2 linked regions of the Coturnix japonica genome follow. The protein of the gene in region 1 purifies or fractionates together with the protein of each later gene. This does not show direct contact. Links are inferred from orthologs where the notes say so. Each region holds a gene or a part of one and is shown in the gene's direction. Other genes may lie near its edges.

The links.
Region 2: the proteins of VPS4A (region 1) and ZFYVE19 purify together in Homo sapiens (affinity purification with mass spectrometry; 3 studies listed by BioGRID and IntAct, counting the BioPlex papers as one, with this or other methods). This does not show direct contact. The link is inferred for Coturnix japonica from reciprocal best matches to the Homo sapiens genes VPS4A and ZFYVE19.

Annotation. Positions count from the first base shown.
Region 1 is NC_029526.1:16,878,490-16,882,742, forward strand, and holds the start of VPS4A (vacuolar protein sorting-associated protein 4A), read left to right. Parts: upstream 1-1,197; 5' UTR 1,198-1,309; coding exon 1,310-1,330; intron 1,331-1,450; coding exon 1,451-1,562; intron 1,563-1,630; coding exon 1,631-1,778; intron 1,779-1,854; coding exon 1,855-1,916; intron 1,917-2,031; coding exon 2,032-2,151; intron 2,152-2,356; coding exon 2,357-2,513; intron 2,514-2,748; coding exon 2,749-2,897; intron 2,898-3,028; coding exon 3,029-3,110; intron 3,111-3,250; coding exon 3,251-3,470; intron 3,471-3,546; coding exon 3,547-3,687; intron 3,688-3,968; coding exon 3,969-4,070; 3' UTR 4,071-4,253. UniProt on the Homo sapiens protein: Involved in late steps of the endosomal multivesicular bodies (MVB) pathway. Recognizes membrane-associated ESCRT-III assemblies and catalyzes their disassembly, possibly in combination with membrane fission.
Region 2 is NC_029520.1:21,663,350-21,667,682, forward strand, and holds the start of ZFYVE19 (abscission/NoCut checkpoint regulator), read left to right. Parts: upstream 1-1,276; 5' UTR 1,277-1,350; coding exon 1,351-1,404; intron 1,405-1,531; coding exon 1,532-1,653; intron 1,654-2,650; coding exon 2,651-2,704; intron 2,705-3,283; coding exon 3,284-3,444; intron 3,445-4,333. UniProt on the Homo sapiens protein: Key regulator of abscission step in cytokinesis: part of the cytokinesis checkpoint, a process required to delay abscission to prevent both premature resolution of intercellular chromosome bridges and accumulation of DNA damage.

The DNA of each region.
Region 1 (4,253 bases):
GGCACTGGGGGCACTCTGGGACCTGGCGCTGTGGTGCCGGTATGGGCAGGGGGCTCAGTCCCTGCCGTGCTGCGATCACAGGGCGGGTGCTCCCCAAGCTCTCAGAGTCTGCAAACGAGCGCTGTTCCCTCCTGGGCTGGGGGCACAGCGGGACCCCTCTGGGCCTCGTGGCTTTGGGGAGGGATACGTAGATCGATGCACTTTTGCTTTTTGTACTTTACCTCTGCCCCTGGCAGGGGATGGTGCTGCTGGGGGATCCGCTGCGCCCCGGCCCAACTCCTCTGCAAACGTTTCTGCTTCCCACGGGCTGTGCCGGGAGGGCCTGGGCTGCAGAGTCCCCACCCAGCACAGCCCTTCTATTTTTGTACTCTTTGTAAATCGCTATTTATACAGACTGGTCATGTGTGGGGTTTGTGATCGGCACTGCGGGGAGCGGCCGTGGGGGGCTGTGATCCATGGGCTGTGATTGATCTATGGGCTGTGATTGATCCATGGGCTGTTATTGATCCATGGGCTGTGATTGATCTATGGGCTGTGATTGATCCATGGGCTGTGATTGATCCATGGGCTGTGGGCCCTGTGGGTGGTGGGTGCTGTGTGTATGTGGGTTGTTTTTTTGCTGTGGGTGCTGTCTGTGCTGCACATATACACATACATACACACACATACACACACACACACACATGCTGCACACACACTCACTGTTCATGCTGTCTTTGCATAGATGCCTGCAGGAATACACACACGTGTGCTGTTTATATGCTGTTTTGTGGTTGCACTGTGTATGGTCCGCAGTGTGTGTACATGGACACACCTGTATACATGGATCCATCTATATACATACGTACGTGTGCACACACGTTGCACACGCAGTTCGGGCTGTGCACAGACAGCAGCTCTGCATTGCATACAGTGAGCAGAGCAGCAGGTAGCGCACACACACACACACACACACACACACACATATATGTGTATGTACCCCCGCAGTCTGTGAGGTGTGTGTGCACTGTGAGCCCACACAGCGCCGTGTTGGCGCAGAGCCGCGATCTCGGCCGTTCACATCCCGCTGCTCCCGGTGCAGCCCCGCGCACCGACCCACGCCACGCTCACACCGACTCGCGGAGCGCGCTGTGCGCATGCGCGTGCCGTCCAACGTAGGCCCCGCCCGCCCCCTGCAGTACCGGAGGGCGCCGCCAGGGGGCGCCGTGTCGGCCGCGCACAGCCGCAGTCGGGCCGGTCCCGCGGGCCCCCGCCGCCGCCGCCGGGCCGGGTCGGGTCGCTGCGGCTGCGGCCGCCACCGGGCGATGAGATGACAACGACCACCCTGCAGGTACCGGCACCGCCCACCGGCACCGGCCGCCAACCGCCCCGCCGGGCCGCCATGGGTGGGCCCGGACAGGCCGAGCGGGGCGGGGCCGGGCCGGGCTCAGGGCGCCGCGTCCCCCCTTAGAAAGCGATCGACCTGGTGACCAAAGCCACCGAGGAGGACAAGGCCAAGAACTACGAGGAGGCGCTGCGGCTGTACCAGCACGGCGTGGAGTACTTCCTGCACGCCATCAAATGTGAGCGGGGACGGGGGGGGCGCGGGGCAACGGGGCAACGGGGCTGACGGCCCGGAATGTCCGTGTAGATGAGGCGCACAGCGACAAGGCCAAGGAGAGCATCAGAGCCAAGTGCAAGCAGTACCTGGACAGGGCCGAGAAGCTGAAGGACTATCTGCGCAGCAAGGAGAAGCAGGGCAAGAGGCCGGTCAAGGAGGCGCAGAACGACACCAAGGGGTGAGTGGGGGCCGCCAACATCCGGCAGGGCCCGGGGTACGGGAGCTGTGACCGCAGCCCTGTGATCTGTGTCCAGCAGCGACAGCGACAGCGAGGGGGAGAACCCGGAGAAGAAGAAACTGCAGGAGCAGCTGATGGGTGAGGGGCCAAGGGGGCACTGCTGGGATTGTGCCTTGTGCCGTGGGGTCAGCCTGGCTGCGTGGGGTTTGGTGGGGCACAGCCGTGGGCTGCAGCTCTCGTCTCTGCCCCACAGGTGCCATCATGATGGAGAAGCCCAACGTGCGGTGGAGCGACGTGGCCGGGCTGGAGGGAGCCAAGGAGGCCCTGAAGGAAGCCGTGATCCTGCCCATCAAGTTCCCACACTTGTTTACTGGTGAGAGTCACTGGCAGCTCCAAGGCTGCTGCTCAGCCGTGGAGAGGGGCCTCATGTCCCACAGGGGGTGGCAGCTGTGCTGGAGGTGTGTGTGCAGGGAGGTGACCCAGAGCAGAAGGGATGCACGTCCCTTCTGTCCCGAGGTCCCTGTGCAGATCCAGTCTGTGCAGTGCAGGACAAGCTGTGACGCTGGGCTCTGTCGCAGGGAAGCGCACGCCCTGGCGAGGGATCCTGCTCTTCGGGCCTCCTGGTACTGGGAAGTCCTACTTGGCCAAGGCTGTGGCCACCGAGGCCAACAACTCCACTTTCTTCTCCGTGTCATCCTCGGACCTGCTGTCAAAGTGGCTGGGAGAGAGCGAGAAGTAAGGTGTCACCAGGGCTGTGGGCTGGCCCAGGGATGGCTGCCCAGGGGGTGGCTGCTCTCCACGCACCACATTCCCTTCCTTGGTGCCAGCACAGGGCTCCAGGGTAGGCAGGGCAGGAGGAAGCTGTGGTGTGTAGGGCTCGTGCCCTTCTGCAGTGGGTGGGCAGTGTGGAGCTGTGGGTCCTTGCCTGGGGTCCTGGGCGGGGGCACCCACCCCTTGCCTTTGTGCCCAGGCTAGTGAAGAACCTCTTTGAGCTGGCGAGGCAGCACAAACCCTCCATCATCTTCATCGATGAGGTGGACTCACTGTGCGGCTCCCGAAATGAGAATGAGAGCGAGGCAGCCCGGCGCATCAAGACCGAGTTCCTGGTGCAGATGCAGGGTGAGTGGGGCTTCCCTTGGCCACATGAGCTGCCCAGGGCGTGCAAACCCTTTGGGTAGGGAACATGGGGTGGGTGAAGCAGTGATCCCCTTTGGGGATGGCTCTCAAGTCCCTGCTGTTTCCCTGCACAGGTGTGGGCAACAGCAGTGATGGGATCCTGGTGCTCGGTGCCACCAACATCCCCTGGGTGCTGGACTCAGCCATCAGGAGGAGGTGAGCAGGACATGATCCCTCTGCAGTGCCCCAAAGCACAGCACTGCACTGCACTGAATATGGCTGTGAGATTTGGCAGTGTGGGGTCAGCCTGTTGTTGGACACAGCCGCTCACCCATGGCCACCTGTGCCACACTCAGGTTTGAGAAGCGTATTTACATCCCCCTACCTGAGGAGGCAGCCCGGGCCCAGATGTTCAAACTGCACCTGGGCAACACCCCCCACTCTCTGACAGAGGTTGACATCCACGAGCTGGCACGGAAGACAGATGGCTACTCAGGGGCTGACATCAGCATCATTGTGCGGGATGCCCTGATGCAGCCTGTCCGCAAGGTGCAGTCAGCGACGCACTTCAAGAAGGTGAGTTGGGAGCCAGGAGCTGTGCTGCTGAGTGGGGGGCACTGAGGCTGTTACAGCACTACCTGCCTTGTACCAGGTCCGCGGCCCCTCCCGCACCAACCCCAGCCTTGTGGTGGATGACCTCCTGACGCCGTGCTCGCCTGGGGACGTGGGTGCCACCGAGATGAGCTGGATGGAGGTTCCCAGTGACAAGCTGATGGAGCCCATCGTCTGCATGGTGAGTGGGGCTGCCAACCGCAGTTTCAGCTGCTGCATTTGGGCCCATCCCCAGCACAGCAATGCTGCCGCCCCAGCCCTACTGGTTCCCCTGCCTCATCCAGCGCTACCACCTGCCTCAGGGCCTAGTGCAGGCACGTGGCAGCTGGGTGCTGGTGTCCTCCCGAGCCCCCCTGCGGGCAGCTCCTGCCCAGCGGCATCACCATAGGGATGTGTGTGTCCCCAGCGTGCTGCCATCCCCCCAGCCTCCACATCTGAGCTGCCACCTGCTCTGTATTGCAGTCGGACATGCTGTGCTCCCTGGCCACCACCCGCCCCACCGTGAACACCGAGGACCTGCTGAAGGTGAAGAAGTTCACAGAGGACTTTGGGCAGGAAGGTTAAGGGCCGCGGTGGATGGTGGGGCCCCGCTGCTCCCAGGAAGGCGGCCGTGCCAAACAGGTTCATCTGCAGCTCACAACCCAACCCATCTCACTTCAGCACCAGGCAGGGAGGGGGGCAGTGCTGCCCTGGCAGGGCCGACATTACCAGAGGTGCCCCGTGCTCCTCTGCTCCACACTCTTCTTC
Region 2 (4,333 bases), on another chromosome or scaffold:
CTGATGTAGGCTGCATTTAGGAATGCATTTTCTGAAATACATTATTCATAAGTTCTCTCTTTCATAGGAAGAGCTTTTCTTTTTGAAGTCTAACATTTCCACCTTTCATCAGTCATGTTAGGGGTCTTTGTTAACTGCTTTCCTTAATGAACATGCAGGTTTGCTGGAGATTCCACGTGTGTTCCAGACTATCTCCCACTCCCTTCTGCAGATATCAAAAGCTTCAATGTTTCTCCAGCTGTGTTTTGAATTCCTGCTTGCAGACTTCAGTTAAATTTGTTATTTTGCTATAAATTTGCAGCCCAACAAACAGGGAAACGCAACATCTAGAACGTTCTTATACTAACCACTGTTCATTTTCACCTGCCATTAGCTGTGAATATTAAATGGAGGACTCAAACAATTCAGACACCTGCTGTGAGCTTTAGGTACGCTCAATTGCATAGCAGAAGAGGATGTGCATCTAATAGACAATTATCAGCCCACAGTGGGCATTGCCCATGTATAATAATGAGGTAGAGGCCTGCTATTAACATTCAGTTTCTGAGATACATGAATTACTATTCACCAGACAACAGACACCAGGGACACCATGGTCACAGGTTTAGGATTCAAATGTGAGCACTGATTTTGAGAGGCTCTAATCAGAGATCATCACATACTATATACAGCCTGGAAAACCAATATGTAAGGATTTAATCTTAAAAATCAGAGTAACAGCAGTAACGATTACACATGTATAGGTGTATTCCTGTGTATGTACAAGCAGCTGTTACACAACAGGTCTGTGCTCAAACAGCCATTTCCACGAGCTTGTGGAAATGAGATGAGGAGTGTTTGTGTCCAAGATTCCCAACCTTACCTGCCTTGGGACTGTCAGGGTTCCTATCTGGGAGGTGAGTCAGGGCCTTTGAGCAACATGCTCTCTTAATCTGTAAAACCAGGACAGAGATTTGCCAGTCACTTCTATGAGACGAAAGCAGCCTGAAATCAAGCACTACAGAAACACACCCCAAAAATCTACCACTCCTAGGTTTGTTTTTGTTGTTAAAGTGTATTTCCCTGACATAAGTTGAGGCTACAGCACCAAGAAAACAAGAGTAAGGCAGAAAATAAGGGCAAGTTTGGCACGCTGATCGTACAGCTGGTTCCTCACCTGGACGAAAACTGAAACTCAGGTTCCAGATCCAGTTTGGTGACGGTTCGCTGCTTCTGTCACAGCGCCCGTGTTTCAAACGACGCTCCCCGTACCCGCTCCCGTCGGGCCGCGCGCAGACGCGGAGGGGCGGGGTGGTGCCTGCCGGCTGAACGCGGCGCTGCGGAGCGTGGTATGGCGGTGTTGGGAGGGCCATGGAGGGCCGCTGCTACGGGTGTGCCTGCAAGTTCAGCCTCTTCAAGAAGGAGGCAAGTCCGGCCGAGGGGTCGGCGGGGCCGGGCTGGGCCGTCGGTGCGTCCCGTCGCTGTAGCCCGGTGCGGGTCGCGCCGCGCTCCGCCGCTCGGGAGCTGATCCGCCCGCTTCGTGTCCCCGCAGTGCGGCTGCAGGAGCTGCGGGCGCTCCTTCTGCTCGGCCTGCCTGAGCTGCAGCGCCACGGTGCCCCGCTGCGGGAGCGCTCCGCAGAAGGTGTGCAAGCAGTGCCACGGGAAGATCACCGGGTAAGTGCCAGCGGGACTGCATCCTGCCTTTGGTTTTTCCTCCCAGTGTTCGTGGGTAGACCGTGATGGCCCGGCTAGGAGAGGCCAGAATAAGCCCCGCTATTATTTTTGCCGTTTGAAAGGATGATCTTTCAGATGCGTGGTAGTTTGGTAGCCTCTTCCTTCCCTTGTTTGTTTAATATCGGTACTATGGATTTAGAGCAGGAGGAATTCTTCCCTGCGTGGATAGCAGGTAGATAGTGTGTGTTGGCTGTGGTTTTGTAGGCTGCGTGAGTTGGTGTTCTGCACTCACCCAGCTTCCACAGTTGAACCCTTAGAAATGGTTGAACCCTTGAAAATAGTCCAGTGAAGGTGTTGCCCTTGTTTGCCTTTGCCTGTCCTTAGCACAGTGCAGGTAACTGTGCCTTCTAAGAATGAATAAAGTGTGCTAACTACCTTATGTAAGCATAGGTCAGCAGCTTGACACAAACACAGAGAGGCAGAAAACAGTTACACAGGATTGACTGATGTTCAAGTGCCCTAGAAGATGTCGTCACGGTACTGGTGATTACATAATTATTTCTGTAACGTTTTATTTAGCTTCTGCATTATATAATTTTGTGTTTGTTGCTCCTTTCAGGGAGCTGTACTGTATGGAAGCTAATTACCTTGGGAGTCCTACCTAACTGCGCTCTCTGCTTGCTGAACTGGGGCGTGCAGGCTCTGGGAGGCCAAGAGTCTTTCAGCTCCTCCTGGTGTCCAGAGTAAATGAAACAAATTTTGTCCAAATGCAAAACAACAAGAACATAGGACTAGGAATGAAGTCACCTCCTGTCTAAAGCAGCTGTATCATCTTAGTCACTTTCATAAGCTGATCACTATATTAATGGGGTCATGAAAGAACTGTACCAGGTGATCAATACACACGTATTCTGATTCCTCTTGGGCTGAGAGAATAGATGATTGAAGCATTGCTGGAGCCTTGAGTTCAGAGATAACAATGTTTTTTATGTTTCAGACAAGAATCTCAAAGCAGTTCAGCAAAATGGTCACCACCAGAAAACTACAAAAAGTGAGTTACACTTGCTGATCAGCCACCTGTTTCCGCTGTAGGGTAACCTTTCAGACCTTCAGCTCTTAACCCCTGTGTCCTCATAGAGTCCAGCAAAAGAAGGAGGTTGTGATGTGGATGTTTGCTTGTTCAATATTGGATTAAGGATGGGCTTTTTGCTTTGTGGGCTTTTTGGTTTTTTTTTTATTGGTTTTTTTTTTTGTTTGTTTGTTTGGTTTTTTTTGTTTTTTTTTTGGTGGTTGTTTTGGAGGGTGGAAGGAGACACTAATTCTGAATACGCTCACAAACAACAGCCTGTCTGTGTTAATCTTTGACTGATTGTGGTTGGCTTGGAAATAAGTCTGCTGGTGAAATGTTCCTTGTCTCCTCAGAAATGTCACGGCTGCTTCACCTGAGAGTTATGGTTTTCCTTATTCATAGTAGTGCTTCATTGTGCTGGTATGGGAGAGCCTGGTACAGGAATGAGAGGCTTCTTTTCTATGCTGATGTCCTTCAAATAGCTTGTGCTCATAGAGGATGTTTTCAAATCTCAAGATTTAAACCTCTGTTTTCAGTTGTCTTTTTCCATCCCTGTCACAGGCGCGTAGCAGCGTTTGAGGCTAAGCAAAAGCATCTGAAAGGACAACAGAAAGCAGATGCAAAACCACTCAGTCAAGATGACTCCAGATACCGAGGGCTCTCCAAAGAAGATAGAGCTATTGCAGAGAGACTGGAGAAGCTCAGGGAGGAAAGGAAACCCAGTGAGTTTTGGAGGACACCAGAAATTCCCTGGAAGGGAACGCTGCTACTTAAAAAACTATGGGAGGGAAAGGGAAGTGCTGGGCAATCAGTATCTGCCTTCTCTGGGAACTGAAGGCAGTGATGTGATCAGAGCTGCCACAGTGGCCAGGTTCTAGATTAATCTTCCACTTGGGATTTCTCTTGAAATCGCTTCACAGTCCTGGGGCAGTGTCTTACCTATGAAATCACTCCCTTATTTTTCATTGTTTGGTGGTAAAAATCTGTTGGGCACAGTAGCAGCAGAATGGAAGGGGGGGGGGGGGGGGCAAATCATTTTGCAGAAATCATCCTATGTGTTGCTGTGCTGAGTCACAGCAGTACCAGTCTCTGTGGGGTTATACTGTGAATTTTGCCTCACAGAGAACAAAACCAGGCTCTTATCCCAGTCCACAGCTGTCAGATTCTGGAACAGCCTTGGAGTGACTGTTGGAAAGTAAACCTTTAAAAGAACTTGCATATGGTCTCTAAGGGGGAAAAGGCACTCCAAAGTGGTTACCTGATAATGCAGGCAAGTTTTCAGTCTGATGCCTGGGAATATGTTAAAGGATGTGGGAGCAGTGGACTGTACTCCCTAAAGGACATGTGTTTCTCTGCCTGTCCCTCATATCTGTAGTCAGCTGATTGCCAAATGAGGTTACACTAACACTGGTCTTAGGATTGGAAGAATAAACTCAAGAGGAGGCAGTGATTCAGGAGAAAAGGGTGGCAGAGAAATCTGGTTACTGCATGATGACTCTTCCTTTGAGTTAAGGACTGAGGGAGGTTTTTGCGCAGGTGTTTAGATTATGATTCTGGAAAAACAAAAACAAAATAAAACCAACTTGAAGCCATTTGTTTTCAGTAACCCCT